Linked DNA regions of Elephas maximus indicus. The protein of the gene in region 3 interacts with the protein of the main gene of each other region in a pairwise test. Links are inferred from orthologs where the notes say so. Each region holds a gene or a part of one and is shown on either strand. Other genes may lie near its edges.

The links.
Region 1: the proteins of FAM161A (region 3) and DHX32 interact in binary tests that used the Homo sapiens proteins (3 or more experiments, as listed by UniProt). The two-hybrid records come from large-scale screens. The link is inferred for Elephas maximus indicus from reciprocal best matches to the Homo sapiens genes FAM161A and DHX32.
Region 2: the proteins of FAM161A (region 3) and ZBTB8A interact in binary tests that used the Homo sapiens proteins (3 or more experiments, as listed by UniProt). The two-hybrid records come from large-scale screens. The link is inferred for Elephas maximus indicus from reciprocal best matches to the Homo sapiens genes FAM161A and ZBTB8A.
Region 4: the proteins of FAM161A (region 3) and HMBOX1 interact in binary tests that used the Homo sapiens proteins (3 or more experiments, as listed by UniProt). The two-hybrid records come from large-scale screens. The link is inferred for Elephas maximus indicus from reciprocal best matches to the Homo sapiens genes FAM161A and HMBOX1.

The regions. Positions count from the first base shown.
Region 1 is NC_064834.1:75,857,302-75,865,214, forward strand, and holds the start of DHX32 (putative pre-mRNA-splicing factor ATP-dependent RNA helicase DHX32), read right to left. Parts: upstream 3,534-7,913; 5' UTR 3,396-3,533; intron 3,185-3,395; exon of another isoform or gene 3,084-3,184; intron 3,062-3,083; exon of another isoform or gene 2,260-3,061; intron 1-2,259. Other genes in the region: FANK1 (fibronectin type 3 and ankyrin repeat domains protein 1), read left to right, coding at 3,796-3,808.
Region 2 is NC_064821.1:73,378,375-73,386,807, forward strand, and holds the start of ZBTB8A (zinc finger and BTB domain-containing protein 8A), read left to right. Parts: upstream 1-4,830; 5' UTR 4,831-4,878; intron 4,879-4,884; exon of another isoform or gene 4,885-5,137; 5' UTR 5,138-5,224; intron 5,225-8,433. UniProt on the Homo sapiens protein: May be involved in transcriptional regulation.
Region 3 is NC_064844.1:479,157-486,745, forward strand, and holds the start of FAM161A (protein FAM161A), read left to right. Parts: upstream 1-4,231; 5' UTR 4,232-4,341; coding exon 4,342-4,524; intron 4,525-7,589. UniProt on the Homo sapiens protein: Involved in ciliogenesis.
Region 4 is NC_064840.1:43,559,035-43,567,428, reverse strand, and holds the start of HMBOX1 (homeobox-containing protein 1), read left to right. Parts: upstream 1-4,779; 5' UTR 4,780-5,090; intron 5,091-8,394. Other genes in the region: INTS9 (integrator complex subunit 9), read right to left, coding at 4,311-4,319. UniProt on the Homo sapiens protein: Binds directly to 5'-TTAGGG-3' repeats in telomeric DNA. Associates with the telomerase complex at sites of active telomere processing and positively regulates telomere elongation.

The DNA.
Region 1 (7,913 bases), on a different chromosome or scaffold from region 3:
AGGAGATAAAATGTTCACTTTCTACTGGAGTGACCTCCCCTCAGGATTCTGGTGTGGCCTGGATGTTTAAGTGAGAAAGGCTACATCTATCTCTTCATTGTTGCCTTGTTACTGCCTGCTGACAATGCTGGTTTGCTACATGTAGTTAAGCAGCAGCGAAGTAAAGAATAATGTAACTGTTCAATCCCAAAATGAGCTTGGAAACTTAAAAACAAACAAACAAAAAATCAAGATTTTGTTTCTCATTGACCACTGATAGCATACTGAACATACCACTGAAAAGAAAGCAGAAAACACAAAGGTAGAAAACCCCCATAAAAGGGCCACCAAAGCCTTTACCGTTCACCTCCAACGATCCTATTAGCAACTTTCTGATCTCAGGATATTTTCTCTAACAACAAGCATACTCTTTTATCTACAGCAAATTCCCTAATGCTCTTCTTATTCACTCAACAACCATTTAACCAGCATAGTACTAGGTGCTGGAGAGAAAAGAGAAACTGGATAATGTCCCCTTACCTCCCCACCGTTACTGACCAGTCAGGCTTGTCTTCCATACCTACACTGTCACCTAGATCAAATGTTGCTCTCTATAGCTGCCTTTACCTATTACCTAAAGCATTTCAATGCAAGACTTCTTCAATGTCAACCTCAGAGCTACTGATAAAATACCTTCTTCTATAAGGAAACCCTGGTGGTGTAGTGGTTAAAAGCTATGGCTGCTAACCAAAAGGTCGCCAGTTCAAATCCACCAGGCGCTCCTTGGAAACACTATGAGGCAGTTCTACTCTGTCTTATAGGGTTGCTATGAGTCCGAATCGACTCGGTGGTAGTGGGTTTGGTTTTTCTGGTTTATATTACTATAAAGTACTTCACCAATATCTGTGTATTACCATTTTTCCGACCTTAGGATCTGTGCTCAACTACCAAATTATTTTTGCTTTTTACTGTACTTTAGATGAAGTTTCTCATTAAACAGTATACATACTGTTTTATGACATTGGTTAACAACCCCACGACACGTCAACACCCTCCCTTCTCGATCTTGGGTTCCCTTTTACCAGCCTTTCTGTTCCCTCCTGCCTTCTCATCCTTGCCCCTGGGCTGGTGTGCCCCTTTAGTCTTGTTTTGTTTTATGGACCTGTCTAATCTTTGGCTGAAGGATGAACCTCAGCAGTGACTTCAGCACTGAACTAAAAGGGTGTCCTGGAGCCATACTCCCAGGGTTTCTCCAGTCTCTGTCAGACCAGTAAGTCTGTTCTTTTTTGGTGAGTTAGAATTTTGCTCTACATTTTTTTCCAGCTCTATTGTCTGGGACCGTCTATTGTGATCCCTGTCAGAGCAGTCGATGGTGGTAGCTGGGCACCATCTAGTTGTACTGGACTCAGTGTGGTGGAAGCCCTGGTAGATGTGATCTATTAGTCCTTTGGACTAATCTTTCCCTTGTGTCTTTAGTTTTCTTCATTCTCCCTTGCTCCCAAAGGGGTGAGACCAGTGTTGTATCTTAGATAGCCGTTCACAGGCTTTTAAGAACCCAGGTGCTACTCACCAAAGTAGAATTCAACTACCAAATTCTCAAGTCTTTGTTATCTCAGCACAGAGCGCTGCAATATTTTTGTTTTGTTGTTTTTTTCTTTTTTTCTATACAAACACCGAGTCCTTTAATGTTTGAGAAATTTTAGCCATACCTTCTTCTGTGTCAATAAACACCAGGTTTTTACCACTGCCTTGTCACTTTTCATTATGATATTACTGATGAGCACCCCTGTGTTTGCTTCTTGCATGAAAAGGCCAGTTTGTGGTTTTGCTAATGATATGAAAACTGGAGTCTGAGAAACACTGCTCTGTAGAAATATCGTTGATTTTAGACACTTTCTGCCTAAAATGTATTCCCTGTCTCTGCGTTTCTGGAACAGACAGTGAAGGTACTATGGAGTGTTTACTTTCTGACCCGAATTATTACCTTAATATTTTAGCTTACGAATTACAGATTCTGTTTATATCACATTGCTTGTCAATGTCCACACACAGACCTTCCTGCTTTGACAATTAACCTGAAAACATCTTGATGCAGTCTGAGAGGGGGAACCCTAATTTGGGGGAATGTAATAAATATCCTTTTCCATCATAGAATATATGGTTCTCAGGTTCCATTCACCTCTGAATGATTTCCTTTCTGAGGAAAGCAACCCTCCTTGGTGTCCCTGTCATCTATGGAGTGGAAATCTCTCTAGCGGCAAAGAAGGAGTGATCACTTACATGACCCCAAAAGGGCTCTTCTTCCATTCCCCTTCAGTACTGCCTTGAGCAGTGGCTGGAATTGATGGGGGGACCGCAGCCTCCAGATGTGAGTACTAAATCAATCTGGTAGTTTTTTTCCCCACCTGCACTTCCATTCTCAATCTTTTTCTTCTCTCTTCTCCATTTTTCTTTTCTCCTTACTGAATCCTTTTTCTTAACCTGATACTCCTGTGGTCGGGGTTTTACAACCTGCCAGATAAAAGACCCTTGTGGTCTTCAAAGCTTCCGCCTCTAACACAAGATCTGAGTGTTCTTTAAACAAATAACAGTAAAGACTATTGTGTGGGCTCATGCTAAACTCGTTTAACAACCCTGCACGTGGGCTGATTCAATAACTCAACCTAAAACTAGCAGGATTGAAACAAAAACAAACACAGAAGAACTAAACCGACCAGAAAGATCGACACCGGCAGAGGGCCTGAAATGGGATACTGGTGATGACAGAGCAAGGTCGGCGAGGAAGGCTCCAGGGTTTCATGAGTTCAGGAGGCACCTCTGGCCCACTTCCCGCAACTGTGGTTGAGTGACCACTCGCCAGGCCAACGCCCTGCGGCTGGGTGGCCCTCCTGCTCGGGAGCTGGGGTGTTGGGGGACCTTCTTGCCTGGGGCGGGGCATGGCTGGGCTGCTGAAAAACCCTCCTGCTGGCAGGGCTAGTGGGCTGGGGGACCCTCCTGCTGGGGGGCGGGGGCTGGGGTACCGGAAGCACTTCTGCTGTGGGGGTCTGGTGTGCCGCGGGCACCCCTCATGGAGGAGGGGCTGGGGTACCGGGGGACACTCCTACCTGGGCGTGCTGGGGTGCCAGAGGACGTTCCTGCTGAGGGGGAAAGAGGCTGGGGTGCCCGGGGACGTTGCTGCTGAGGGGGAAAGGGGCTGCGGGGGCTGGGGCCCCTCCTACTGGTGGGGTGGGGTGCAGAGGTCCAGGCCCACTGCTGAGCCGGGGGTGCGGGGAGCGGGGCGCGAGGCCCCTCGGGGTCGCCGGGTCCTCCGGGGCGGCCGGGGGCGCAGCGAGCCCGGGGCCGCAACAGGTGCGCGGGCCGCCCGCCCCCGGGGTCGCCCGCCGGCCCGACCCTCCCGCCGCCCGGGCGCCCTTTACCTGCAGGGCGGCTCCGCGACCCGGAGGCCAGGCCGAGCGCGCCCGACGCTGACGGACCGACGGACGCTCAGGTCGGCGACGGCGCCACCCGCAGGCCCCGCGCGGAGGCCCCGCCCCGAGCCCGCCGAGGCCGCAGGGGGGCGCAGGGGGGCCGCAGGGGGGCGTGACCGGCCGCCCGGGCCGAGGGCAGTGTCTCCGACCGGCGAGCGCCGTCACCCTGGCTCCGTCCCCGCGCCGCGGCCTCCCGCGCTCCGCACGGCGTTTGGTCCCTCCCGCTCGCCGTCCTTCCTGCCTTCCTCCCCCGCCCGCCGGGTTGTCAGGGCGACCGGGCGACGCCTGGCGGGAGCAGAGGCGTTGGGAGGGCTCGGCCCGCGGGGGCCGGGGCGCAGCTGACCTGACCATGGAGCCCCAGAGTAAGAGGGGCGAGGTCCCCGGGCCGGGTCGGGGCCGGGATCTCCTCGGGGGATGAGTGGGTGGCTTTTGTCGTGGAAACGCGATTCTCGCCTCCCCCTCGCGCTTCTCTCCCCCGGAGAAGGGAAAAAGGGGGCTCAGTCCTGCCGAGTGTGACCGGTTGGGCCACGAGCGCCAAGGGTCTCGGCTGGGAGCCGAGGGGCGGAGAGCTCGGTAGTGTGGACAGGGGAGCGCACGCCCCCCAACTTTGCTCCTTCAGTCAATTCATAGCTGTTATTACTGTCGCTGTTATCGTAGTCTGGTACTTTGGCTCAGCTATTGTAAATGGCCATCCTGCTTCTAAAATGTCAGTTATTAAACTTGCGTTGAGGCTGGGTCTTGTGTTCATTAGAAACTCCCACCCCCACCCACCAACAGTCCGCAATTTAAAGGAGGGGGAAAAAAAAAAAGTTAGAGGTTTAAGAAGAAGGACAAGCAAAGAAAATAATCTCATTTTAGGTTTTTGTTTTCTTTCCGTTTCCCACGTTGTTTTTGGTATTTGGCAAAAGATGTGCGGTGGTGAGTTATCAGCTCTAACACGGGCTTCTTTCAAACTTCTCTAGGGATGTAGGGTTCTGCCGGTCTCCGCTCCTCCTGGCCTAAGCAAATGTTTTATTGCTTCTTTTGCTCTTAAAATAAGAACAGTAATTTCTCTGGAGACTTAAAAACAAACAAACAAAAAAACCCGTCGAGACTCATAGCGACCCTGCAGGGCAGAGTAGAACTGCCCCATAGCTTTCCAAGGACCAGCTGGTGGATTCGAACAGCCACCTTTTGGTTAAGCAGTCTAGCCCTTAACCACTGCACCATGGAGACTTGAAAAACGTTGAGCCTTTATAGAAGAATGTGGTTTGACTCTAAACCTAAGTCATCTTCATTTGCACAATTTCAGAAATGGAAGTATTCAGACCAAATCCATTCCCCGAGGTAAATGCTGGCATGGTGAAAGACCATTTGTTTCCAACAAAAAGGGTCTAAAGACTTCTTCCTGTCCTTTTAGCTCATTTCCTGGGGAAAAAGATTACAAGTTGTAAGTTATAGTTGCTTGAATTGATAGGATTTTCACACAATACCCTGCTATTTACATTTATAACTTTCTGGATCCTACGTTTAATCTAACCCATTGAAAAAAAAATTACAACAACGTAAACATTTTGTCCTATGTCAAACTGATGCCAGGCAGTGTATGACCATCCGTGTTCTCGCCTTAGAGAGGAAAAGAATACAAGTGAAACGTATCTATTTAAAACAGCCACTTTATTTCTTCAGGTTTGTGTTATTGTTTAAATGTGTAAACTATAAATTTCAAATCCTTCGGTGTTGATTGCCTTTATCCGTTCACTCATTCCTTACCCATTCAGTCTTTGTCCTTTCACCCATCATGTTCCAGAGGAGTCCCTGGGTGGCACAGTCGGTTAAGCACACAATTACTAACCGAAAAATTGGTACCTTGGAAGAAAGGCCTGGCTGCTTCTGAAGGGTCACAGCTTTGAAAACCCTATGCAGTGCAGTTCTGTTCTGACACATGGGGTCCCCATGAGTTGGAATCGATTCAGTGGCAATTGTTTTTGTTTGTTTGTTTATGTTCAAGGCACTGTTTTAGCATTGGGGACTGAATGGTGAATAAGGCAGTATTAGTTTTAGCCTTCCCAGGTAAACTGAACAGAGATTGTACAAGAACTACTGAAGCATCTGTAGGTTCTGAAATTAGGGGCAAAGTAATGGACAGAAGGCTTCCTGGAGCAAGTAGTGCTAGGCTGAAGAAGGAGTTAACTCAGTAAAGAACGAAGGAGAAGGGTTCCAGGCAGAGGGAATCCCTTGTACATAGGCCTTGAGAAAGCAGGGTGAATTTGAGGCTCGGAGCTGGAAGACTAGTAAAGTTGCAGGTGAGAAGACGGGCGGTAGGGTGCAGAGAGAAGAGAGAGAAGGCTGGAGACACCCACAGGTGACAGATCAGGAAGGCTTTGTAAAACTGTGTAAGAAATGTATTACCTGTGTGACTTGTACATTTACATCTCGGCTCATTGGATTTTGGGTGAGAATCAGTTTTTAAGTAATCTATGCCTAGAGAGAGACTGTAAATTGATGCCTTTCCACATATTCTTAAATGCTTTTATCAGTTTAATTTTAGGGATGATTCAAACAACCACCATTTTACCTTACGGAATTCTTTCACAGCTAATAAACACCATCTTTAGAGAAACATTTTCTAAACACTGTGTGAAGTTAGTCAGTATTTAAAGTGACAAGATTAAATTATCTCTAAGGTCCCTTTTAACATCAAGATTCATATCTAACCAGATTTCAGCCGTTTGAGACTTAAGGTATTTCACTCTCTCAGAGATGATGTAGGGCACCACACATATAATATGAACTACTGTTATAATTATTATATCACATAATTACAATCCTACAGTTATCGATATTAGCAATATATTATAATGTTTTAAGCCTGGTGTCTACATTGTACCTTTGTTTTGAGGGGTTTCAAATAGCATTTTACAGTGTTATTTAATTATAAAACCCAAACCAAACCTGTTGCTGTCGAGTCAATGCTGACTCCTAGCGACACCTCAGTAAATTGGTTAAAAGGAACGATCCTTCTTAACTGTTTTTTAAGGATGAAACATCTATCCAAGAACAACACTGAGGAACTACTAGAAATAGCCCCTGAGCCAGTCTTATCCATTTTATGTCCACACATTTAGTTTTCTATTACTTTTAGAAATGACCTTTATTAACCGAGTCATTAAAATCCAATAACCAAACTCTTCAAACTCCAAGCTGGATCATGCTCTGGTGGTAGGCAGAGGATGACAGGGGCTACCACTGTGTTACAGAATAATAATAAGTCAATGACCCAAGAAATGACCCCTCAGGGAAAGGGCAAATTAAAGAAGTTCACAACCTTGAGCTGTTCAGAGTGCTTTTGGCTCTTGGCTTACATGTTTACATCTTTAATTATTCTCTCCCTCCACTAACTACACTATGAAATGACATGGAAAATGGACATCAAACTGCACTTTTATTGTTTTCTTAATATTTAAATTCAACAGTGCTAACTCTTCTCCAATTTCTTAGTAAATGATGGTATCAAAGGGTGGCTGTGGGGGCCTTCAGCACCCCCCATGATCTTTCTTAGCCCCCCAAATCATCCTAAGCAAACAATCTGTAAAAACTATGTATATTTATCAAATTCTGCATCCAGGTAAGTCCTCAGACCCATTTCCAACCACATTGCTACCTGCCTGATAAATTCTCCCTAGAAAAACATTCTGAACCTAATTTAGGCCAAGCTGCAGTTTCCTCCTATTTTTCCACCTTTGAAAAGACATGCTAAATGACCCCAATTATTTCAGTGACTAAGAGACTGGAAGCATATAGTTGAAGCAGTGAAGACTCTCCAAACCAGTTTCTCAGCTGATCTTCCCATCTCAATCTAGGATTTCACCATCTTCCCAGTTCCTCCCACTGAAAGCTGAGAGTCATCCTTCACTCCTTTCTTTCACTCTCCGTGGCCACCCAGTCCACCGGCATGCCTCTTTGTTCCACCTCCAGAATATAACCGGCATGTTCTCCTTTATGCCTCTCCCCACTGTAATGACTAGTGAGGCATTGGTGGCTCAGTGGTAGAGTTCTTGCTTCTCACGCGGGAAACCCAGTTTCGATTCCCAGCCAAGGCACCTCAAGTGCAGCCACTACTCGTCCGTCAGTGGAGGCTTGGGTGTTGCTATGATGCTGAACAGGTTTCAGTGGAGTTTCCAGACTAAGACAGACTGGGGAGAAAGGCCTGGTCATTTACTTCTGAAAATAAGTTAGTGAAAATCCTATGGATCACAGCGGTCTGATTCCCAGCAGATTGTGGGATGGCCCAGGACCAGGCAGCACTTCATTATTTACGTACGGGATGTCCAGGAGTTTGGAGTCAACTAGAGGGCAGCTAATAACAACCACTGTAATCACTGATACTCCAAACACCATCTTCCGTTGCTTGTACCTTGATTGTACGTAGGTGTTTCTGCATTTCCTCCCCCCTCCCCTACTCCATCTGTGCTCCACCTGGGAGCC
Region 2 (8,433 bases), on a different chromosome or scaffold from region 3:
GAAAATTAGCCTATGAAAACCTTATGGCTCAAAACAGAATAATGTCTGATATAGTGCTGGAAGATGAGCCCCCTAGGTTGAATGGCAACAATGAACTCAAGCATTCTGAGGATCATGAGGATGTCTGGGCAGCGTTTTGTTCTGTTGTACATGGGGTTGGTGTCTTAGGCTGGGTTCTCTAGAGAAGCATATACATATGTATGACATATATATGTAAAGATTCATCTCCAGGAAATGGCTCATGCGGTTGTGGATGCTGGCAAGTGCCAAATCTGTAGATCAGGCGTCTGGCTGGAGGCTTCTCCTGACTCATGTGGTTGCAGGGGCTGACGAACTCGAACTGGCAGGTCAGACGACAGGCTGGTAGTCCACAGGGTTGTGGAAGCTCTTGAATTAGGTCCGATGGCAGACTGCTAGTTCAAGTCCCAAGAACCAGAGGTCAGATAATGACAAGCCAGATGCAGGATACAGAGCAAGACCAAGCTTTGCCAGAGTGTCCATATATATTGGATGTAGGTCACAATCTCAAGGAAACTCCTCTTACGTCAGATAAGGGTGTGATTTGACTAGGGCAGTGATTTGAGGTACAGTGACTTACTAAAGGCTGTGACTCAAGGTACACTCCACACTAATCCTGCCTCATTAAAATATAGAGGTTTAGGATTTATAACACATAAAGCTGAGGATAGTTACATGATACCACAAAATGGAAGACAATTGCATCAGATCATAAAATGGAGGACAATTACATGATACTGGGACCCATAACCTAGCCAAGCTGACACACAGCACTGACCATCACAGTCACCATGAGTCAGTGCCCACTCAATGGCAGCTAAGAACAACCATCCACTAAACAATGGTGTGCTCAGCCTTCTTCACTTCTCACTTTATATTCTCTGTATCCACATTCATAGTTTTAATTCTTATTTACATGAGAGTGATGTCAAAGTTTTACTGCAAGCAATTTTATCTATTAAGGTCCAGTCCCTATATCCAGCTGCTTTCTTGACCCTTTGAACTACTCAGGGTTTTTGGTCGCACGAAGACTAGCCCTGGCTGATTTAAGTAGAATGAATGTTCACAGGATTGCAGATATAGCCTATGCTAGGCAGTCAGAAACAACAGCTAAAGTCACACCACAAAACTGGCCTGGTGAGGACACCCGAACTGCTCTCAGGCATGACAGCTTGTGTCACTGATAGTGCTGGCACTGGAAAGTGAACGCTATCACTAGCAGCACGGCCACTATGGCGCCTGGAGATACTACTTTGCTGGAACTGTCACCACTGCCAGAGGATTCTTTGAGGTTTCTGCTTCTCGGTGTCGTAACTCCATCTGCAAAATCCTTGGTGAGTGCATCTGATTATCAAAGCACAGACCATTAGTAATTTCCTAGCTGCAAGGGATTCTGAGAAAGCAAGTCTCTGGTATTTCTAGATGCTATTGCAGAAAGCAAATTCTACCTCGCACCAATTACTCATAAGGTAAGGAATCCCCGGACGTATAAACGAGGTTCCAATGGTATATATACAAAAATAATGAAGATGCCAAGATGTTCAATCTGCATCTCTAATTGGACAGCTCAAAGATACCTCAATCTCAACATATCCAGGCTGAATTTATAATTTTTGTGGCCCTCTTAGCCCCCTTCCCCCCAAAAATCTGGTCCTCTTCTAATCTTTTCTCTCCATGAGTAAGACCACAATCCATCCAGTTTCACAAGCTAATGGGCTTGGAGTTGTCTTTGACACTTCCTTCTCCCTCACTCCCCGTAACCAACCTATTACTACCTCTAATATTTATCTCTCTTGGTCTCTCCACTTCTATCCATCTCCTCTGCCTTCACTTTACTTCAAGGCTCCATCATCTTTCAGCTGGACTACTGCAATTCACTCTCCATTAGTTATCCAGTGCTGCTATAACAGAAATACCACAAGTGGATGGCTTTAACAAACAGAAATGTATTTTCTCACAGTTTAGGAGGCTAGAAGTCCGAATTCAGGATGCCAGCTCTGGAGGAAGGTCCTTGTCACTTCCTGGATGATCTTCATGTGAGTTGGCATCTCTCTTCCCCCATCTCTGCTTCTTTCACTTGCTTGTTTAATCTCTTTTATATCTCAAAAGACATTGATTTATGACACACCCTACACTAATCCCGTCTCATAACATAAAGATAACCATTTCCAAATGGGATTATAACCACAGGCATAGATTTTAGGATTCTGGAGGAACACTTAACACTTCCCTTCTAATATATTCTCTAACAATAAGGCCAGGGTCATCTTTTCAAAATGCTTATCTCATCATGTTACACAGCCCACAGAGCATAAAATACATCAACGGCTTCCAAACTTAACATGGCCTACAAGGTCCTGGCTGGTCTGGCCCTTGCTTACCTCTCCTGCCTCATCTCTCCTCACTGTCCCTCATTCTGCATGCACTCCAGCCTCTTCAGTCTTTCATACTATGCTCCCTCCTCACGAGAACCTCTGTACATTTTGATCCTTTTATTTGGAATACTTCCTACCACTCTCACCTTCGCCTACTAATTGCTACTTCAGATTTTCAGTCAAGATCATTTCCTCAAGGAAGCCCTCCCTAAGCCTCCTTCCCCCGTAAGACAGATAACGACATCATCTATATGCTGACAGCACTACAGACCTCACCTTCATGATTTATTAAATTTTTTAAATTATATTTATTTGATTACTGTCTGTCTCCCCCACTAGACTGCCAAGTCCCATGAAGGCAGAGAGACCAGGTCTATTTTTTGTTAAACACTGCATTCCAAGAATAAACCACAGAACCTTATCCATAAAATCAAAATACCAAACCCGTTGCCATCGAGTAAGTTCTGACTCATCGTGACCCTACAGGACAGAGTAGAACTGCCTCATAGAGTTTCCAAGGAGCACCTGGTGGATTCAAACTGCTGAACTTTTGGTTAGCAGCCGCACCACTTGGCCACAATGCCACCAGGGTTTCCAACCTTATCCATAAAAAACCAAACCCATTGATGTCGAGTCAATTAGGACAGAGTAGAACTGCCCTAGAGAGTTTCCAAGGAGCGCTTGGTAGATTCCAACTGCTGACCTTTTGGTTAGCAGCCATAGCACTTAACCACTATACCACCAGGGCTCCCCCCACCTTATCCATTAAAAAAAAAAAATCCATACCAAACCAAAAAAACCAAACCCAGTGCTGTCGAGTCGACTCCGACTCATAACAACCCTACGGGACAGAGTAGAACTGCCCCATAGAGTTTCCAAGGAGCGCCTGGCAGATTTGAACTGCCAACCCTTTGGTTAGCAGCCATAGCACTTAACCACTATGCCACCAGGGTTTCCACCTTACCCATAAAAAAAAAAAAAACATAAAAAAGTAGGTGTTAAATAGCAAAACCAGTTGCTTTCAAGTGAATTCTGACCCATGGCAGCCCCATGTGTTTCAGAGCAGAACTACACTCCCTAGGGTTCTCGAGGGCCAGGTGCTTTCAGAATTAGATCACCAGGTCTTTTTTCCAAGGCACCTGTAGGTAGATTCGAATTGCCAATCTTTCTGTTAGCACCTGAGTGTTTGTCTGTGCCACCCAGATACTCCTAGGTGCTGAATTATACCTCTTAAAATTGGAATGAATGATTTCCCTCGAGACTTGGGACTGAAGAGTGGGGGGTGGGGGGAGTAGAGTTTAAGAGAATAAGCGCTCCTGAATTGGTTAATGGTGCAGCACCAGCAGAGAGAAGCACCAACTCTTGAAGCTGAGAGGGTGAAGGTGAAGAAAAAAATCTGTCTTGGACCTCGTTGGACCTTCCAGTTTCAGTTTTTTAGGAGGACTGGCTGCACAGCTACTCACGCTCACTTCTCCCTTATTAATTAAATCATAAACTCCTATTTCTCCTTTCTGGCAACCATGTCTGTAGAACTATTTTGCATGTTTTAATTAACTTAGGCTAAAATGAAAACTTCCTGCTGTAACAATGTCTAGGCCTCTCTGGAAGAATTCTCAACGAGGGTGCTAGCAGAGTACACTCAACACTCCTGATACCTGATGGTTTTCAAATATGTTTTCATGTTTGATAAACAGATTCTACCTGTTCAGAAGATGAGGAGACACAACTAAATGGCAACACACCTCTGGAGTAATACAGAAGTGATTATTAAGAGATACTTGAATATTTTTTATCCTTCCCACAGAAGGTATGATCCTCAAAATCACAGCAAATTATTGTTGAAAGCAAAGTAATAAACTTCATTCAATATGACTCATTATGGCATAGGAGAGGAATCCACTCAAAAGCTAAATATGAGTTTTGAAAATTTGAGTCTTTTTTTCAGTTTTACTATATGATACTGTACTTTTCAGTACCTGGCCCCAGGACAAGGAACTAGAAAACTAGTATGCAGAATTAACGCTTCTCTAGTAACAGTGAAAATTCAGTGATTTACTATTTTAGCAAATGTATATACTGATGTTTGTACTAAATATTAGAAACATAAATGTCAGAAAGCTTGTTGTAACAATGAATTTTTATATTTTAAAACACAAAACATGCTATCTGTACTGATTTTATACTTCCTCTGAACTAAGAATTATGTTCTTATTTCAGCTTCTCTGGATTTTTCCTCTTCAAATAAAATGCTTGTCACCTATAGAGGTTTAGAAAAGGTTACCCCTGACTAAAATAATTGCTTCAATAAAGAGAAAAATTCTGTGGAAATCTCTTACATTTGACGTTGCTAAACTTAAGTACAATAATGTCACATGTACTTATACAGTAATTGTGGGCACGCCTAAGTCCCTCCCTCTTCCCTAAACCAAATTCCCCAGATCCTAGAAATCCAGCCTTTCTGCCCTCCGGAGGCGCCTTTCTCAACGTAAAGTACAATTTAAAATTTAAGCTCCTGACTAAATAATGATTCCGCAGTCAACTGCTAGAGAATCTGGGCACCCAGTGCTTCTGGAGGGTGCATCGGGGTGTAGGCAAGGGCAGGGGGAGTGGGCGAAGCTGCTGGTTGGTGCCTGAAATCTGTGCGTTGCCCCTTTAATTGTGTCCCCAGCCCTCGGGCGTTTCTGTCCAACGCCCACGTCAGCAAATACCTTTTGTTTCTCTCACGTTGGGGCTACTTGTTTTAGGGCGCAAAGGAACGGCTTCGTAAAGGGGTTATTTCCCCCGCCGAGAACCTGGAATCTTCTCCCAACCCGCGCGCACGACCCGTAAGGGTAAGTGGCTGCGCGCGGCACGGGCGGAGGGCGGGCGGGGCGTCGGGGCTGCCCGGGACGGGCCCGCGAGCCTCTCTGCTGGCTGAGGCGCCTCCGGCTCCGCGGGCTCCGACTGCCCGGGCGGCAGCGGCGCCGGGATGCGGGCCCGGGGCGCGCCGCCCCCAGACGTTCTCGGGCCGGCGGCGGGCGGCGCAGAGGCCAGCGGGCGCCATTTGCAGCCCCGGGCGCAGCGGCGGCGGCGGCGGCGCGGCGGCTCCGAGGGGCTGGAGGTGGCCACAAAGGAGGCGCGGAGAGCTGGGGCGGCGGGCACGGCCTCGGGGCGGCGGCCGGGCGGCCCGCGGGACAGGCGGGCGGCGCCGGGGCGCACCGGCTCCCGCGCCCGCCCCGCCCGCGTCTCCCCGCCCGCGGGACCGGCCCCTCCTGCGCGCCCGGGAGGGACTGCGGGACAATGGCCGCGCCGTCGCCGCCCGCCCGCGCTTGGCGGTCCCCGATGAGCGCGGCGCCCGCCTCGCCGCCCAGCCCGGCCGCGGCGCGGGGAAAGGCGGGAAGGCGCGCAGAGCCTCCTGGCGGCTGCGGCGGGAAGCCGGCGCCGGGCCGGTGCCGGGCGTGTCTGGAGCCGTCGGGCGTCGCGGACTCCGGGAGGGTCGGCGGCCGGCCGGACACGGGCTGCGCGGCTGAATGACGGGCGGCCCGCCCAATGGGGCGGTGCGGCAGGCGGGGCAGGGACCCGGGGCTTCTCCCCGCGCGGTCCCGGGCGCTTTATTGGGAGGGTGGCTCCCCGTGCGGTAGCTCGAGTTTCTCAACACGTTCTCCAGCGTTTGGTTTTGTATCCTGATGCAACAGATCTGGGCATAGAACCGAAGGCAGGCGTACTACACCTAACAAATGGTGAGCAACAAGATTCGTTTTATGACGGAGCCAGGCGTCCACATCTGCCTGTGCCGACTGCCCGTTCCGTAAATGAGCCGTTTGGCCCCTTTATCCCACCAGTGCGTTTACTGACGGTTGATTGTACGAATAGCCAGACTCGCCGTCTTTCCAAGACCTGTGTGGAAGTGTTGGAATCGCACTTACCGGGCTTTTAACTAACTTCCTCAGTAATACCTCTATTTTTAATAAACCTTTATATTTGCAGAACTTTTATTTCGTAAATGGAGTGCTTTCATTTGTAGGTATTTCACATAAAAGAACCACCCAGTCAAAGTGATGGCTATTTCATTTTCAGATGAGGAAACACTGTTTGACCCTCTAGGCCAGGGGTGAACGAGAAAGAGGGGGACCTTCCAATGTGCCTAGTCTCCTGGTCCTCCTCCACACCCCCTCCTAATGGCAGCACCTCCAGAAGAATATTCCAGAGGAGCAAGCTAGTCACATAGCTCCCTGGCTCAAAAAGCCTTAACAGATCTTTATCAGAATAGAGCCCAAACTCCTCAGCAGAGGATTCAAGCCCTAAGTCTCCACGTCCTTTTTTATCCCCCCGCCCTGAGCAAGAGCCCTTCACTCATAACCAGGGACCAGACCCCATTAGTCCTGGGAACTTTGCTGGCCACACAAGTGGTAAATGAGAAGTGAGAGTCGGTGGCCTGGGACCCTTCACCCAATGGGCGTGTGTGGAAGTCAGCGTTAACACATCAGCTGGAGGCCACGTGAGGGGGCGGCTCCTTCCAGGGGTATGGCCATTTAAATTTCTGATCCCACGAAAAAGGCCACCAGGCCAGACCTTACCTCATAGCCCTGAAATCAACGGCGTTGCTGGTGATTAATGATTTGGGCCAAGCAGAATCATTGTAACATAGGGTAATACTTGATTCCTCCTATATCATTTAAATCTGATTTTCTAGATAAAGTAGAATTTCCGTCTAATGAGATTAACCCCTTCAGTGATATACGTTTGTAATGTTTGAAGGGTTTGATGTAAGCTTTTTCATGTCCTTGAGGGAAGTTTTTGTCACTTCTCTGTCAAAGTCCATCAGTGGCTCACCATCTCATGCAGATTAAAAGCCAGAGTTTCCCCAACTCCAGCTGTCTGCAAGGCCCTGTAGAAATTCATTCCACCTACCTATGTCCTCCTAGAATCTGGCTTAACTTTCTGACTGTGTCTTCCATTCCTCTTCCTATGACTCCTTGATGTTCCTCCAAGCCTCCTAGCCGGCCTCGCCTCACCACCTTAGCACTTGCTCTTCCATCTGCCTGGAACACTCTTTCCCCAGATATCCATGTGACACTCTCACTTCCTTTAGGACTTTACTCAAATGTTATCTTCCCAGTGAGGCCTTCTCAACTATGGTTTTGATTCTCTTAAACATTGTTACACTTAATTCTAAATCTTTCCAGGTTTAAAAGACGTTTACCCACTAAGGAAACCCTGGTGGTGCAGTGGTTGAGTGCTACGGCTGCCAACCAAGAGGTCGGCAATTCAAATCCACCAGGCACTCCTTGGAAACTCTATGGGGCAGTTCTACTCTGTCCTATAGGGTCACTGTGAGTCGGAATCAACTCTACGGCAGTGGGTTTGGTTTTGGTTTGGTTACCCACTAAAGAACACAATTGGCATTCCAGTTGACTGAAGTTCCTTATGACCCAGGAATTTTTCACCCGAGAGGCTAACTAGATTCTTTTTCGTGATACTGATGGGACACATTAAATTCTAGGTGGCAGTTGTTGTTAGTTGCCGTTGAGTCAATTCTGACTTATGGCGACCCTGTGTATGTCAGCGTAGAACTGCTCCATAGGGTTTTCAAGGCAGTGACCTTTTGGAAGCAGTTCGCTAGCCAGGCCTGTCTTCTGAGGCACCTCTGGGTGGGTTCGAGCCACCATCCTTTTGGCTAGTTGAGCACTTAACCATTTGCACTACCCAGAGACTCCAAATTCTAGGAATGACTACATGTTAAAAGAGATGGTCCTGTAGCCCACAACCTTTAATCAAGTTACTCTCGTTACCTCAGTCTCCCTTCTACTCATAGAAATACATGTCTTTTCCTGCTATTCCAAAAATCTTTGAACTTAATGGTTTCTAAAATATGTAATTGTCTTTCCATCTTCCTTTTTAAAGATCTTTGAACTTGATAGGAATTTTGAATTCTTTTACATTCTTAGGACTGTTATAAATATTTAACACTTATAGATACTTAAAACGCTTCCAGTTGAATTTTGGATATCCCAGGTGGATTAGTCTGACTTGATGTTTCAATTTGTAAAGTCATTCTACT
Region 3 (7,589 bases):
AATGAAATCCCTAACTATGTCAGTCTTTTCTCCATTTATCAGTGATGCTGCATTTTAGTCCAGTTGTGAGGGTTTTGGTTTCTTTATGTTGAGATCTAATCCATACTGAAGGCTGTAGTCTTTGACATTGTTTATATTATTATAGTATGCTGTTCTATATGCAGTAAGCTGGGGTGATTTAGGGCTCACCTTGTTTGTTTCGTTTCCTTCAGTGATCACAGTCCTGTGCTGCTTTTCCTCCAGTGTCTGAAAGCAGTTTCATACATACTGTCTGGGTGTCTAGTTGTTGATGGTAGGAAGGCAATTCCTATAGCAGTTAATCCTGCTTCAATTTTTGCATTACTATACACTAGCATAATTAGAAGAAAAATTGGTAGTTGAAAAATATCACCTTGGTTATAAAAATGATGGTGGAGATCATGTGACAGAATTTTGCAAGACCAACAACTTATTCATTGCAGATACCTTTTTTCAACAACATAAACAGCGACTATACACATGGACCTCACCAGATGGAATACACAGGAATCAAATCAACTATATCTGTGGAAAGAGACAATGGAAAAGCTCAATATCGTCAAATCAGAACAAGGCCAGGGGATGACTGCGGAACAGACCATCAATTGCTCATATGCAAGTTCAAGTTGAAGCTGAAAAAAAAAACTGAAACAAGTCCACGAGAGCCAAAGTATGACCTTGAGTATATTCCACCTGAATTTAGAGACCATCTCTAGATTGGATGTGTTGAACACTAATGACCGAAGACCAGACGATTTGTAGAATGACACATGGTGTCAGGAGTAGTTCAAATTCCCACCAGTCAGATTGGACAGACCTCATAATACACACGGAATCAGTAGAGCTTTCAGTCCTGCCTTAGTTGTGAGGGTAAATTAGCTGTAAAAACTGCTCTGGACTCATCCTAACGAAAGATACTTGTCTTAGTCGTCTAGTGCTGCTGTAACAGAAATACCACAAGTGGATGGCTTCAACAAAGAGAAGTTTATTCTGTCACAATCCAGGAGGCTAGAAGTCTGAATTTAGGGCACCAGCTCCAGGGAGAGGCTTTCTCTGTCAGCTCTGGAGGAAGGTCTTTGTCACCAGTCTTCCCTTGGTCTGGGAGCATCTTCAGCCCAGGGTCATCAGGTCCAAAGGATGCACTCTTCCCAGCACTGCTTTCATGGTGGTATGAGGTCCTCATGTCTCTTCCTTCTCTCATATCTCAAAAGAGACTGGCCTAAGACACTGATCTTGTAGATCTCATTAGTATAACTGCCACTTGATCCATCTCATTACATCATAGTGATAGGATTTACAACACATAGGAAAATCACATCAGATGAGAAAATGGTAGACAATCATACAGTATTGGGAATCATGACCCAGCCAAGTTGACAGATATTTTGGGGGGACAATTCAATCCATGGCAATGCTTTAAAGGATCAAACTGATCCCAAATAATTCATCTGTCAGAACAAAGCTTAACATTCTTAAAAGTAGTACAATAAAATCGAGCACTCAACAATGTAAAATAATGTCTGGCATCCAACCAAAAATTATCAGGCATGCAAAAAAGGAGGGAAATGTGACCCATAGTGGAGAAACATCAACGGAAACAGATGCAAAATGACTAAGATGATGGAATTAGCAGGCAAAGACCTTAAATCAGTTTTTATAAATCATATATATGCTCAAGGATGTAAAGGAAAACATGAACTTGATGGAGAAATGGAAGATATGAAGAAAGTCCTAAATCTAGAAATGAAAAATGCAGTATCTAAAACAAAATACTCTGGATCAGATTAATAGATTGTACATTGCCAAAAAACAAAACAACAAAAAGTGAATTTGAAGACGTAGCATTGGAAACTATCCAAAATAAAGCACAGAGAGAAATGCAATTCACTTTGTAAATTATGTATTCAGCAACCTTGCTAAACTCTTATCTAATAATTTACATCTAACTTAAAAAAAAACATTTCTGTCAATCAAAAACATTCAGATTGGAAGATATGAGCTGCCTAATGACATTTTTCAACAGATGGCTTATTTTTTTTATTGTGATATATGTAACAAAACATTTGCCATTTTCAACATTCTTCATATGTACATTCACATTATGTTTATTGTTTTCCCACCACCACTAACTCCAAATTTTCCCACCACCCTCTACAGTAGCTCAGTGTCCTTTTCCCCTCCCTCTTGCCTGCCCCGGTAGAAACAAAGCATTGCTGTCGAGTTGATTTCTACTCATAGCGACTCCATGGGACGGAGTAGAGCTGCCCCATAGGGTTTCCAAGGAGCGACTGGTAGATGCAAACCTTCTGGTTAGCCCCTGAAGCACTTAACCACTGCACCACCAGAGCTCCTAATTTAGAATGTTCCTGGTAAATTGAAACTTTCCTTGTCGTCTAGATACATGTCTTCCACACTGATTCGTTGGTTTTGTATAATTTTCCATTTGCACTGCTTTACCATCAAGACTTGTCTTGCTGCACGTGACTAACTGGAAGTCCCTAACCTGGTCACTGGGTAAGTCCATACCGAATGGGCTTCCAGCTTCTGCACAGAACAGAGCCAACATTTGTCCCCGTACCAAGCGAATGCTCTCCAAAACCAACTGCTGCCTGAAGCAAGTGGGGAGAGGGATTTTGCAGGTGCTCACACTCCGGACAGGCAGCCAAGGAAGGCTTGGTACGAAGGGTTCAGTCCTCGGAAACGGGTTCGAGACCAAGCGCCCTGCACAACCGAGGAAATGCCAGAGCTCCAAGGCGCTGACAGCCGTTTAGGGCCGGTGATAGAGGAGGCTAAAGAATGGGGCTGGGAAGTAGGGGCTTGGGTAGCGGGTGGCTGAGGCTCTGCCAGGCCCCAATGTGGAGGGCACGGCCTTTTACAGCCTCGTGGCGCACAGGGAAGTCGCTGCTTGACGCACACCAACCCGGGTGGGAGGAGTTGGGTGGGTTGGGTTGTCAGGTGGGTGGGGTTGTCGGGTGGGAGGAGTTGTTGAGTGTGGGAGGTGTTGTCGGGTGGGAGGAGTTGGGTGGGTTGGGTTGTCAGGTGGGTGGGGTTGTCGAGTGGGAGGAGGGGTTGGGTGGGTGGGGTTGCCGGGTGGGTGGGGTTGTCGGGTGGGAGGAGTTGTCGGGTGTGTGAGCAGACGGGGTGTGTGTGTAGTCGCTGCCGGGCACCCGCGCCTGTCGGGTGTGTGAGGAGACGGGGTGTGTGTGTGTGGTCGCTGCCGGGCACCCGCGCCTGTCGGGTGTGAGGAGACGGGGTGTGTGTGGTCGCTGCCGGGCACCCGCGCCTGTCGGGTGTGTGAGGAGACGGGGTGTGTGTGTGTGGTCGCTGCCGGGCACCCGCGCCTGTCGGGTGTGAGGAGACGGGGTGTGTGTGGTCGCTGCCGGGCACCCGCGCCTGTCGGGTGTGTGAGGAGACGGGGTGTGTGTGTGTGTGGTCTCTGCCGGGCACCCGCGCCTTCAGCCCCGCGGGAGCTCGGCGGCTGGGTGGCGTTGTCGGGTGTGTGAGGAGACGGGGTGTGTGTGTGTGTGGTCGCTGCCGGGCACCCGCCCCTTCAGCCCCGCCTGAGCTCGGCGGCTGGGTGGCGTTGTCGGGTGTGGGTGCAGACGGGGTGTGTGTGTGTGGTCGCTGCCGGGCACCCGCCCCTTCAACCCCGCGGGAGCTCACCGGCTGACGGCGGGCTCGCACAGCCACCATGCCTGTCACTCGTTGGTGGGCGGGCCAGGCACCGCCCACACTAGGCTTTTATTGGTCACTCATGAGCGGGCCAGCTAGCGGCCTCCTTCTGATTGGCCAGCTGCTGGTAGCGGTCAAGTCAATCAGAAGAGGACTTACGGCGCTCGTTGGGCTCCTCCGGCTCCCGGCGGAGCTGCGTGAGGTAGCCGCGGGGCCGACCTGGCTACCGTTCCGAAACAGCGGCCCTGCTCTACTCCTGCACCGCTGTCATCCCCTCCTAACACATTATTTCAATTAATAACAATAAAAATGCGCTGTTTCTTCACAAAACGAGTTGCTTCGCTAGCAGGATGCGAGCAGTGTGCATTCAAGCGGCGAGACGCCCGGAGGGGAGGCGGCGGCCTGTTCCTCCCGCTGACCTTCTGACCCGCTCAGCAGAACCAGCACCTACTCTCGCCGGCAGGCGGCGCGCCCGCGTCTCCCGGCGCGCGGCTGCTTTCCGTGAATTCTGGCCCCCCGCGGCCCCCGTAGCGTCTCTGATTACCGCGCCCCTGGTAACCGCCTGCCGCGAGCGAGCCGCCGGGGGCCGGGGGCCACACCAGCTTCCCCGTCCCGGGCCGGCGCGGGCGCTGAGGCCTTGGCGGGGCGGCGATGGACGCCTCGCATGAAGCGGCGGGGCTGGCGGCCTCCAGCCACCAAACCCCGATAAACCCCAACAGCGGGGTGCGGGTCGCCCGGTACAGAAGGGAAGACCTCATAGAGGCCCTGGCGGCGGCGGCGGCGGCCTTGGAGGAGGCGGAGCAGGAGAAGACGGTGCCGTCGGCGCGGGCGTCGGTACTGCGGGCTGGGTGCAGGGCGGGACGTGGGCTGGGTGCGGGCTGGGTGCGGGGCGGGACACGGGCTGGGGGCGAGGAAGGTGCGGGGCGGGACGCGGGCTCGGTGTGGGGCTGGACGCTGGCTGGCTGCGAGGAAGGTGCGGAGCGAGACGCTGGCTGGGTGCGGGCTCGGGCTGGTGTGGGTCCCCTTCCAGCTTAGGGACAGGCTGGGAAATGCGCTCCCCTGTCTAGATCTTCCTGGAAGGTAATTCTCTGCCCAGTGATCCTGGCCCACAACCTTCTCTCAGCCCCCACGAAAAACACCCAAAACCGAGGCTTCCAAAAAGTCTTTTAATTTTCACCAAAGAGGTTGCAGTAAAAGTTTCTAGAAATTATTTCTAGAAAGAGCAAAGCACAGAACTTTCCTCCTTATGCTTTGGTGTTCCTTGGGAACGGATACAGTATTTCCTTTAAAAAAAAGAATTTGAAACCTGTGTTAGTCATTTAGTGCTGCTGTAATAGAAATACCACAAGTGGATGGCTTTAACAAAGAGTTTATTCTCTCACAGTCCAGTAGGGTAGAAGGTCCTTGTCCTCAGTCTCCCCATGGTCGGGGAACTTCTCAGGCGCAGGGACCTGGTGTCCAAAAGAGGCGCTCTGCTGGTGCTGCTTTCTTGGTGGTATGAGGTCCCCAACTCTCTGCTTGCTTCTCTTTTCTCTTGAGAGATAAAAGGTGGTGCAGGCCCCACCCCAGGGGAACTCCCTTTACATTAGATCAGGGATGTGACTTGGTAAGGGTGTTACAATCCCACTCTAATCTTTTTAACATAATATTATAATCACAAAATGGAGGAGCACCACAGAATACTGGGAGTCATGGCCTAACCAAGTTGATACATACGTTTTGGGGGGAACATAATTCAATCCGTGACACTGATCTCCTCCCATGAAATTGAGTTGATGACCCATGAAAACTTAAGTGAATCAGCTAAGCTCTCAAGTGTGTTTGGTGGATCTTAAACACACTACTTTAGAGGCAGGAGTTTAAATCATCAAGAATTTAGTGGATAGACCAGACACAGATATAGATAAGACCAGAGAAATAAATTACTGAGGTGCCAGTGTTTCCTAAATGGCCTTCTGGATGGAGCAAGACAGCCTTTTCACTGATCAGTTTTCACTGTCACATGTGTCATGGACACCTGTCCACCAGGTGGAGGGCAGAGTCTGCCATCTGCTCTCTTCACTTAAAAGATGAGAACCTTGCAGATATAAAACTCTCCACCAGATAAATCCTTTTAATACTATATGTCTAAAGCTTCTCACACAAAAAACATTTTGGTGTAGGGCTGTTAGAAATCACTGGATACTTGGAATTCTGATGTCTTTACACTACAGCTGTTAATAAGAAATCTGTAGCAGCACCTTTTATGTTCAGTATTTCACCAACAGACATAAACTGCTTGAGGCTGTCCAGAGTTGGGCAGATCGAGACCCAGCACAGGATCAGAACACTAGGACCATATTTGCTCATGATAAAGCTTCCAGTCAACACAAGTTGCAGTAGGCAAGCAAGGGAATAGAGGAAGAAGACTAAATGGAGGACAAAGCTTTGGAGTTCTGGATTAGAGTTTGGGCTCTATCTCTTGCTAGATGATGCTAGGACTTAACTTCCTTAAGTCTCAGTTGCCTTATCTGTAAAAAGGACTAGTGTAATAATTCTCTCTCTCTCCTGTCTCAGTGACTGAGAACCAAATGAGAGAATGTGTGTCATATCTAAAGACATGCTTATATAAATTGGCAATCATAATAGCAACTACCCATGGGACTGTCATTGCAGTGACTCACCCAAAGATGAAATTTTGTTTTGGCTTTCTGTGGTAGAGGAGCTAGTCATTTCTCTGGCTGCACTTATACTTCCAGAGTGTCCTGATAAACTGTAAATTTGTATTAGAAACTGTTATTACCTTTGGAGAGTGGAGAGATTAGCTTACATGGTTCTGAAAGGGCAGGATCCAAAAAAAAAAAAAAAAAGGAAGAAAAAAGAAGCTAACTTTTATAAGTTTGATACTGTTCCAGGATTGTCACACAGGAAAGGTCCAGAAGCACACCTGGGTGGCCTGCCTCACTGGGCCTGATAAGCCAGGTGATGCTGGGGGCAGGGGAAGACGGAAAAGGCAGGAGGAGTGCAGGAACCAGGCTTTGTCCCTTTACAGTTTGGCTTGGGTCTCTAACTTGATTTTTAAAGGTTAATATGTCTCAACTTTGTCATCTATAAAATGTATTAAACCCAGATAGCATACCCACCACACAAGATTGTTTATAGAACCAGCTGTCATAGTAGGCCTCTTTCAGCCATTTGGTTTTGCCAGAACCCCACCTTGCAGGACTCTTTTCCCCTTTGGGCACTGAATTCAGTGCTCCCTGAATCCAGCCTCATCAGAGTGAGGGGAAGGAGAGATGCGTCAGTTCCTGGGCCCTGTGATGTGATGTGACATAGCTTGGACATGTTGCCAGGAGGGATCGGTCCCTGGAGAAGGACATCATGCTTGGTAAAGTACAGGGTCAGTGGAAAAGAGGAAGACCCTCAATGAGGTGGATTGACACTGTGGCTGCAACAATGGGCTCAAGCATAACAACGATTGTAAGGATGGTGCAGGACCAGGCAGTGTTTCATTCTGTTGTGCATGGGGTCAGTATGAGTTAGAACTGATTCGATGGCACCCAACAACAACAATAACATAATGTGATGGATGAAGCCATGGCTAGAGCAGCATTGTGTATGTAAACATGGGATGGGGGTGGGGGGAGCTGGTGTCTGACCTCTAACTTCACAAGAGGGAGGGAGAATCAAGATCAGCAACCCAAGGCTGATTCCTGTGAGGCTGAGGTCAGATGTGCTTCCTCCTCCCCTTCCCCTTTTTACCAATTATGGCACCAGCGGCCCCTTCCATGGCACTCTCTACTTCCCTGCTAGGGTCAATACTTTGTTGCAGTGGCCATGCAGAACTCACAGACAATACTCATGATTATGGGGTTTATTAGGGAAGTGACAGGTTACAGTTCCGGCTCAGGAACACTCAG
Region 4 (8,394 bases), on a different chromosome or scaffold from region 3:
AATATATACACACCCAATGACAGAGCTCCAAAATACATAAAACAAACTCTAAGAGTACCGAAAAGAGAAATAGACACCTTCACAATAACATTAGAAAACTTTAACACAATACTCTTTGCAAAGGACAAAACAAAGAAAAAGAAATTCAGCAAAGACATAGAAGATCTAAATACCACTATCAACCAACTTGACCTCATAGACGTATACAGAACACTTCACCCAACAGCGGCAAAGTACACATTCTTCTCCAATGCTCATCGATCATTCTCCAGAACAACACATTTTAGGCCACAAAGCAAGCCTCAACAAATTCAAAAACATCAAAATAATACAAAGCATCTTCTCTGATCACAATGCTCTCAAAGTAGAAATCAGTAATAGGAATAGCAAGGAAAAAAAAACTAATACATGGAAACTAAGTAATACCCTGCTTAAAAACTACTGAGTAATAGAAGAAATCAAATATGGAATTAAAAAAATTTCTAGAGTCAAATGAGAATGAAAAAACAACATACCAAAACCTTTGGGACACAGCAAAAGCAGTTCTCAGAGGGCGGCTGATAATAACACACACATCCAAAAAGAATAGGCAAAAATCAAAACATTAACCCTACAACTCCAACAATTAGGAAGAGAGCAGCAAAAGAAGCCCACAGTCACCAGAAGAAACGAAATAATAAAAATTAGAACAGAAATAAACAAAACAGAACACAAAAACAACAGAAAGAATCAATGTAACTAAAAGCTGATTCTTTGAAAAAGATTGATAAAATCAACAAACCACTGGCCAAACTGACAAAGAAAAACAGGAGAAGACACAAATAACATGAATAAGAAATTAGATGGGTGACATTACAACAGAACCAACTGATATAAAAAGGATCATAACAGAACCCTATGAAAAACTGTAATTTGAAAACCTAAAGAAATGGACAAATACCTAGAAATACACTACCTGCATAAACTAACACAAAATGGCGTCAACAATTTGAACAGACCTGTAACAAAAGAAGAAATTGAAGGGGTCGTGAAAAAACTCTCAACCAAAAAAAGCCCCAGCCCAACAGCTTTACTGGAGAATTCTACCAAACATTCAGAGAAGAGCTGACACCAGTTCTACACAAACTATTCCAGAACACAAAAATGGAAGGAATATTCTAGAATTCATTCTATGAAGCCAGCCCTGATACCAAATGCTGGTTAAAAAAAAAAAAAAAATTCATCACTAAAAAAGTGAACTACAGACCAATATCCCTCATGAATACAGAAGCAAAACTTCTCAATGAAATTCTAGCCAATAGAATTCAAAAGCATATGTAAGGAAAAAAAAAAATACATCACGACCAAGTGAGATTCACACCAGGCATGCAAGGATGGTTCAACATTAGAAAATCAATCACCTTAATTCACCACATAAACAAAACAAAGGAAAAAAAAATCACATGATCATCTCAATTGACACATAAAAGGCATTTGATAAAATCCAACAGCCATTCCTGATAAAAACTCTCAATAAAATAGAAATAGAAGGGAAATTCCTCAACATAATAAAGGGAATTTATACAAAATCAACAACCCACATTATTCTCAACAGGGAGAATCTGAAAGCATTCCCCTTGAGAATGGGAACCAGTAAAGGGTATCCTTTATCACCACTCTTATTCAACACTGTATTGGAAGTCCTAGCAATAAAGTGAGAAAACGAAATAAACCTCCAAATCAGTAAGGGATAAGTAAAACTATCCCTATTGGCAGATAATATGATCCTATACAGGAAACCCTGGTAGCATAAGTGGTTAAGAGCTACGGCTGCTAACCAAAAGGTGGGCAGTTCGAATCCACCAGGCACTCCATGGAAACGATATGGGGCAGTTCTACTTTGTCCGATAGGGTCGCTATGAGTCGGAATTGACTCGACTGCAACAGGTTTGATTTTTGGTTTTATGATCCTATACATAGAAAATCCTAAAGATTTCACAAGAAAGCTACTGGAACTAATAGAAAGATTCAGCAAAGTGGTAGGATAAAAGACCAACATACAAAAATCAGTTAGATTCCTCTACATCAACAAAGAGAACTTTGAAAACGAAATCAGGAAAACAATACCATTTATAATAACCCCCGCCAAAAGATAAAATACTTACGAATAAATCTAACCAGGGACATAAAGACATCTACAAAGAAAACTACAAAACACTACTGCAAGAAAACAAAAGAGACCTACATAAATGGAAAAATACACCATGCCTCTTGGATAGGAAGAGTAAACGTTGTGAAAATGTCAATGCTACACAAAGCGATATACAGATATAATGCAATCCTGATCCAATTCCCAACAGCATTCTTCAGTGAGATGGAAAAACTAATCACTAGCTTTATACAGAATGGAAAGAGACCCTGAATAATAAAGCTTTTCAAAAGAAGAACAAAGTGGGAGATCTCACATTACCTAATTTCAGAACCTACTATACAGCTATGGTAGTTGAAACAGCCTGGTGCTGGGACAACAACATAGACCAATGGAACAGAATTGAGAACGGAGAAGTAAATTCATCCACCTATAGACAGCTCATCTTCGACAAAAGACCAAAGGTTATTGAATGGGAAACAGACGGTCTCTTCAACAAATGGTACTGGCAAAACTGGATATGTATCTGTAGAAAAATGAAACAGGATCCATACCTCACACCATACAGTGAGTAAAATAAGTCAATCGTAAAAAGACAAATATTGTTTGATACTGATTTTATAAAGAAGAAAAGGCTTACACACAGAAAAAAGGAAAGGAAAAGGAAGGAAGGAAGGATGAAAGGGAGGAGGGGAGGGAAGGAGGGAAGGAGGGAGGAAGGAAGGAAGGTAGGTTCTTTTATGGTTACCAGGGATGGTAGAGGGAGGGAGGAAAAATTACCAAAGAGGTAGTAGATGGAAAGATATAGTAGGAACGACTTAACACTGGTGAAGGGAAAAGCAATATATAATATGGGAAAACTCAGCAGAACGTGACCAAAGCAAAAGGGGACACTGAGATGAGCGTGCGAATAAAGGGCAACTACCATAACTACTATAGTATAGACAGTCCTGCAACAATAGTATTAACAATAATTTACATAAACAGCTTTAAATGGAGACAGTTTTGGAGTTGAATCTACTTTTAATACCTTCTCTGACTTCCACCCTGCAAACAGTTGCCACTTTGCAGAGCGTATGCCTGTAGCATGATTATCAAATGGGTGCTATGTACTTTCGAAAAGCATACTCAAATAGTTATATAAAAGGAAAAACAAACCATTTGTTTTTGTATAGAAATTACAGAAAGTAAAGCTTGACAAAGGAGCCCTGACGGCACAGTGGTTAAGTGCTCCGTTGCTAACAGAAAGAATCAGCAGTTTGAACCCACCAGCTGCTCTGCGGGAAAAAGATGTGGCAGTTTGCTTCCATAAAGATTACAGCCTTGGAAACCCTATGAGGCAGTTCTACTCTGTCCTATAGAGTTGCTATGAGTCAGAATCGACTTGATGGCAATGGATGAAGCTTGACAACTTGGTTGCAGGATTTTAAGATTGAGAAGCAGTGTTTCACAGCTACCTTCCTATTCTAATTGTGCTATTACTAATTCAATAGGGTTGGAATTAACTCACAATAAAAGTAAAGAGTGAAAATAAAGATCTGAGAAGCTACTGGAGCTCTGTGATTCAAGGATTTCTCTAGGTATACTAGCATTTTCCACCTAACCTTTGTTCATGCAATCTCTACAGCCCTAGACCGGAATGTCTTGACACTTCCTCTCTGCCCATCCAAATCCTATACAGGGTTTAAAACTCAAATCCTGCAAGATCACACGCTGATTTCCTTCTCTGAATTCAAAGGGCAATTATAATTAAACTATAACAGGAAACTTAATAAGTGATTACGTTCTGCCTAGTATCTTCTACTCGCTTCAGCAGGGAGAAGAGCTAAACATGTATCAACCAGTGTGCCTATTATAATACTCACGTGGAAGCTCAGAAGTCATAGGTGACTATGCTCCAATCCTAGCTCACAGGTGAAGAAATGAGACAGTCAACCTCTTATCTGACCTGACAATGAGTGAAAAAGTTCTCCGTGCTGTTTTAAGGGGCATGGTGGAGTGGATAAGGGTGAGGATTCCGACCTACTCGACTACAAAAAGCAGATTTCCCTAGTCTACCCCATATTCCTGTTCCGAAAAAGCCATCCCTCCTCCGCGACGGTTCCTTTCGCAAGGTGGAAACCACGAAGTCCAAAAGGATATGGTATCACCTTTGCCCTCTGACCTAGGAGTGGAAACTCACCAGTTTCATATTGGACTTCAGGCTGTTCAACAGCAATCACTCGACTCCTCAGACCCAGAATGCGTCTTCCGGTTCAATCTCCGCCACCAACCTGCACAGAGCATTACGGGACAGGCCGTCTCCCACCATCCCACGCCCCAGGAATCATGGGAAATGTAGTCATCCCTAGATGCATCATGGGAACTGTGGTCATATTTTCTTTTTTTCCCTGAACTCCTTCTTCCGTCATCCTCGCCGTCTCTTCATCCTCCCTCTTCACCCCATCATGATATCTTGTCCCCCATATGGGCCTGGGACACATAGTTTTCTGGGAGGTGTAGTCCCGGTGGGTCTGGATTCCCCTTTCTCCTCCTCCCTGTGGGCCGGCTAATGGATGCGGGACTTGCCGGGAGCTGTAGTTCTCCGAGGTGTCTAGATGCGGAGTCCCAAGCTTTTACTCAAGGGAGGCAGGAACTACAACTCCCAGGGCTGCCCGGCGGCAGCAGGTGGGAGCGGGGCTGTTGATATCAATATGGCGGTTGTCAGCCAGACAAAGACAGTCAGTCTGATGTGATTGAGGCAAGGGAGGTTTTCACGGGGAGACTGGGAGATACCGGCCTCCCCTCCTCCCTTTCCTCTTCCTGTGCGGGCCTCAAACCCTCCCCAGCCCCCACCCGCCGGGCTCCCCACGCGGAAGACACCCCTCCCCCTCCCGCTTTCTCCTTCCTATCTCAGCTTTTCGTACTGGGACGTTGGGGAGGGGGCTGTGCCGGGCGGAGAGAACTCAGCGAGGATTCTGAGGTGAGTCGAGCAGTTTGAAACCGGACTACTTCAAGTCTCTTCCCTCACTTGTTTCTCTTTACTTTTAAAATTTTCCCCCAGAGGCTTTGGGGAGAAAGTGAGTGGGATGGGGAAGGGTCTCTTAAGCGGCCGGTTTGAGAGGAGGGAGAAAGCAGGGGCTTCCGAGTAATTGACCTGGACGCAGGATATGGGGTGGGGCAGTTTATAGGGTGCATTAATTGAAAGGCGTCGGCTTCTCCCCAACTCTTTTTTCCTTGTTACCGCCACGGTGGGCGGAAGGTTTGAATCCGGGAGTTGGGGGGGGGGTCTTCTGTTTGGAGTTTGGGAAACTGACGTGATTTTGAGGTGTGTTGGTTTGTATTACTGTGGTTTAAACTGTGTTACGGGTACTTGTGTGATATATTTGTATTGCATAAATGTCTAAAGATAAGAAGTTAGATAGCTAGAAACATAGCTTTTAACGGGGCCTGGGCTGAGTAGCGTGTGTGAGGTCCTGCTCCTGGACGTTTGGCTGACGACGTGGTGCTGGGTAGCTGGGGTTAGCAACTCGTTTGTGTAGGATTGCCCGCTCACACTCCTCTTCCCCGTCTCCGCCCCCTCCTCTGGACGCATCTCCACCCCAAACTCCCGGCAGGAGAATTGTAGAGATGATGTGGTTTGGAGATGGATTTTTGCATACTTAAGTCAGTAGCTAGGTGGGAAAGGAAAAGTGTTCTTAATATTTTATTCCGGAACCGTGTTTTGGTTACACTCTTGGGGCTACTTTGAAAGGAGTCCTCCACCCACCCTCACCCCGAAACAGTAGGTAGAGGTGTCTCGCCGCCTTCGTGTTAAATATATTAATAATTAAGATTTTGGGGCGTGGGGTGGGCATACGGAGTGCTGAATTGTGTATGTGTCTGTGCGTGTCTACTGAAGATACAGAATGATTGTTGTGTATCTTGAGATAGGGCGACTTATTTTCGTGGCAGGAAAAGCTATTGGAAATTATTTGGGGGGCAGCTGAAAGGCGCTGCTTGTATTTTTCTTCTACCCCACCCTATTCTGCCTCGCATTTGCCTGAAAGCTGGTGTGGAAGAGTGAGTGAAGGAAAGAATGCAGTTGGCCTTGAAGATACCGTACTATGTGAAGTTGAATGATATGAAGTAATTGCTGTTTTTATTTACCTTAAAATAGCTTTAAAACCCTCATGTATCACATAGGGTAGAGTGATGTGACCAGTTTATTTCCATGGAATCCTGCAGGTGTAGAAACTCCTTCCTTTCTTCCCTGGCATTTGGATGGACATAATGCCTCCTGAGCCTTTTTATTTAGTTTGTGCCAATATGGTTGTGCTTTTTTGTTGTTTATACTGTAAGAGGCATCACTAGATGAAAAGATTTTGCATTTGTTTTTATTTTGCATTTATGCCACAGGTAATTGCCACGTAAGGATTGCAGTGCTTTGCGTTAAACTTATTTTTAAATTGAGCAACTAAGTTGTTAGATGTAGTTGAATTATGTTTATAAATCAAGTTTGGAAATTTTGAATTCTGAAAAATTTGAATTCTGATTTTTTGTTAGTTTCGTTTAGAGCTGTGAAGGGAAGAGGATTGCAACATCTCTTGTTTCTCAGTCTTTTATATTCAATAACACTACAAAAGGAGAATTTAAGAGCGTTTATTTTGTATTTCCATTTGAAATAGAAGTTCTTTAGTATGCCTTCTTATGTGACTATTTTTTAGTGTAATGGGCTTTTCAATAACCAAAGGAATTGTAATAATTTCTATTTAGACTGTTGAGAATTTAATACATTTACATATGACCCCAAACTTACTGATTCTTAAAACTGCCACCTATCATAAGAGACCCTAGATTCTATAAAAACTGAACTCCACACAGATACAGTATGTAATTTTATGGGATGTTTTATAACCTTTGATTTGAAATTTCTGCAGTTGGTCATTCATGCAGTTAAGCTGATGGACCTGACAAAAAAAATTGATATTTTTTAAATCTCGAATTTATAGTATATGTTGATGCAAAGCTGAGACTTTAGTTTGGTATAGATAGGATTTCCAGAATTATCTGTTTTAACCTTGGATCTTAATGTGAAACATTACTTTGCAAAAACTGAAGAGAAATCCTATATAACTGTATAATAGAGTGTTTTTTTTTTTGTTGTTTTTTCTTTGCTCGAAGATATTCTGGTAGTCATAGAGTTTTAAAATGTTTAATAATTATTTTAGAAAAATACCTCAAATGCTTGTTAAGAGTCAGAAAAATATAAGAATGTTTTCTCTTCCACCTACCGTTAGCTTAGCAATTTTTTGTTGGATTTATTCTTTTTGTTTTTATTCTTTGGAAATGCAAAGTTACGGGAAAAACTTTCATGAAACTTATTCTCACTAGTACTCTGGTTGACATCATTAAATGCAAACTAGATATATTCCTTGCATTCGCTGGAGTGATTCCATTGCATTTTAAGCACTGGGCATTAAGATGATATAAAGCTTTTACTGCAGGTTAAAGCTTAAAACATTCTCAGCATGTGGAAGTCATATGGTTTACAAAAGTAGAAAATCAGGGCATTGGTGCCTGACCAGCTTAAAATTTCATCCCATAACTGTGAAAGACACATTTTATTTTCACGTGATCACTTCTAAAAATGTTGCCTATATTATGGGGAATTGAAAATCCGAACTGTTTTTAACCCAATCTGTTGCTACGTTAGTGTACCGCATGTATTTATGCAACTATTTCTGGTTGCAAATGTGCATCAAAAAGCTGTTAGGGTAAGTTTTATGTTGAATGTCTTCATTAAGGAGTCATTTTCACTGCTGCAGAAACAAATTTCAGTCTTCTATTATTAGCCTACATCACTAATACAAACTTAATAGCACAGTATTGGTAGGTTATAAAATATATTGCAATAAATCTTGCATTGTTTCATAGTGTTTGGCAAGTTTTGATTGGAATGAAATTGTTTATTTCAGTAGTTTTTTAATACATCGGAATAAACCAAAAAAAAAGAAAAAACAAAAAAACCCCAAAACCCACTGCTGTTGAGTCGATTCCAACTCATAGTGACCCTATAGGACAGAGTAGAACTGCCCTACAGAGTTTCCAGGGAGCGCCTGGTAGATTGGAACTGCCGACCTCTTAGTTAGCAACCGTAGTACTTAATCCCTATGCCACCAGGGTTTCCATACATCGGAATACTCATGCTTAACTTGTCATTTTGAGTATTCCTTATTTTAGTTCATCCTACTTTTAATATTTCAGAGAGCTAGCATTTCCCATAAAAGCATGTTTGCTTTTTCTGT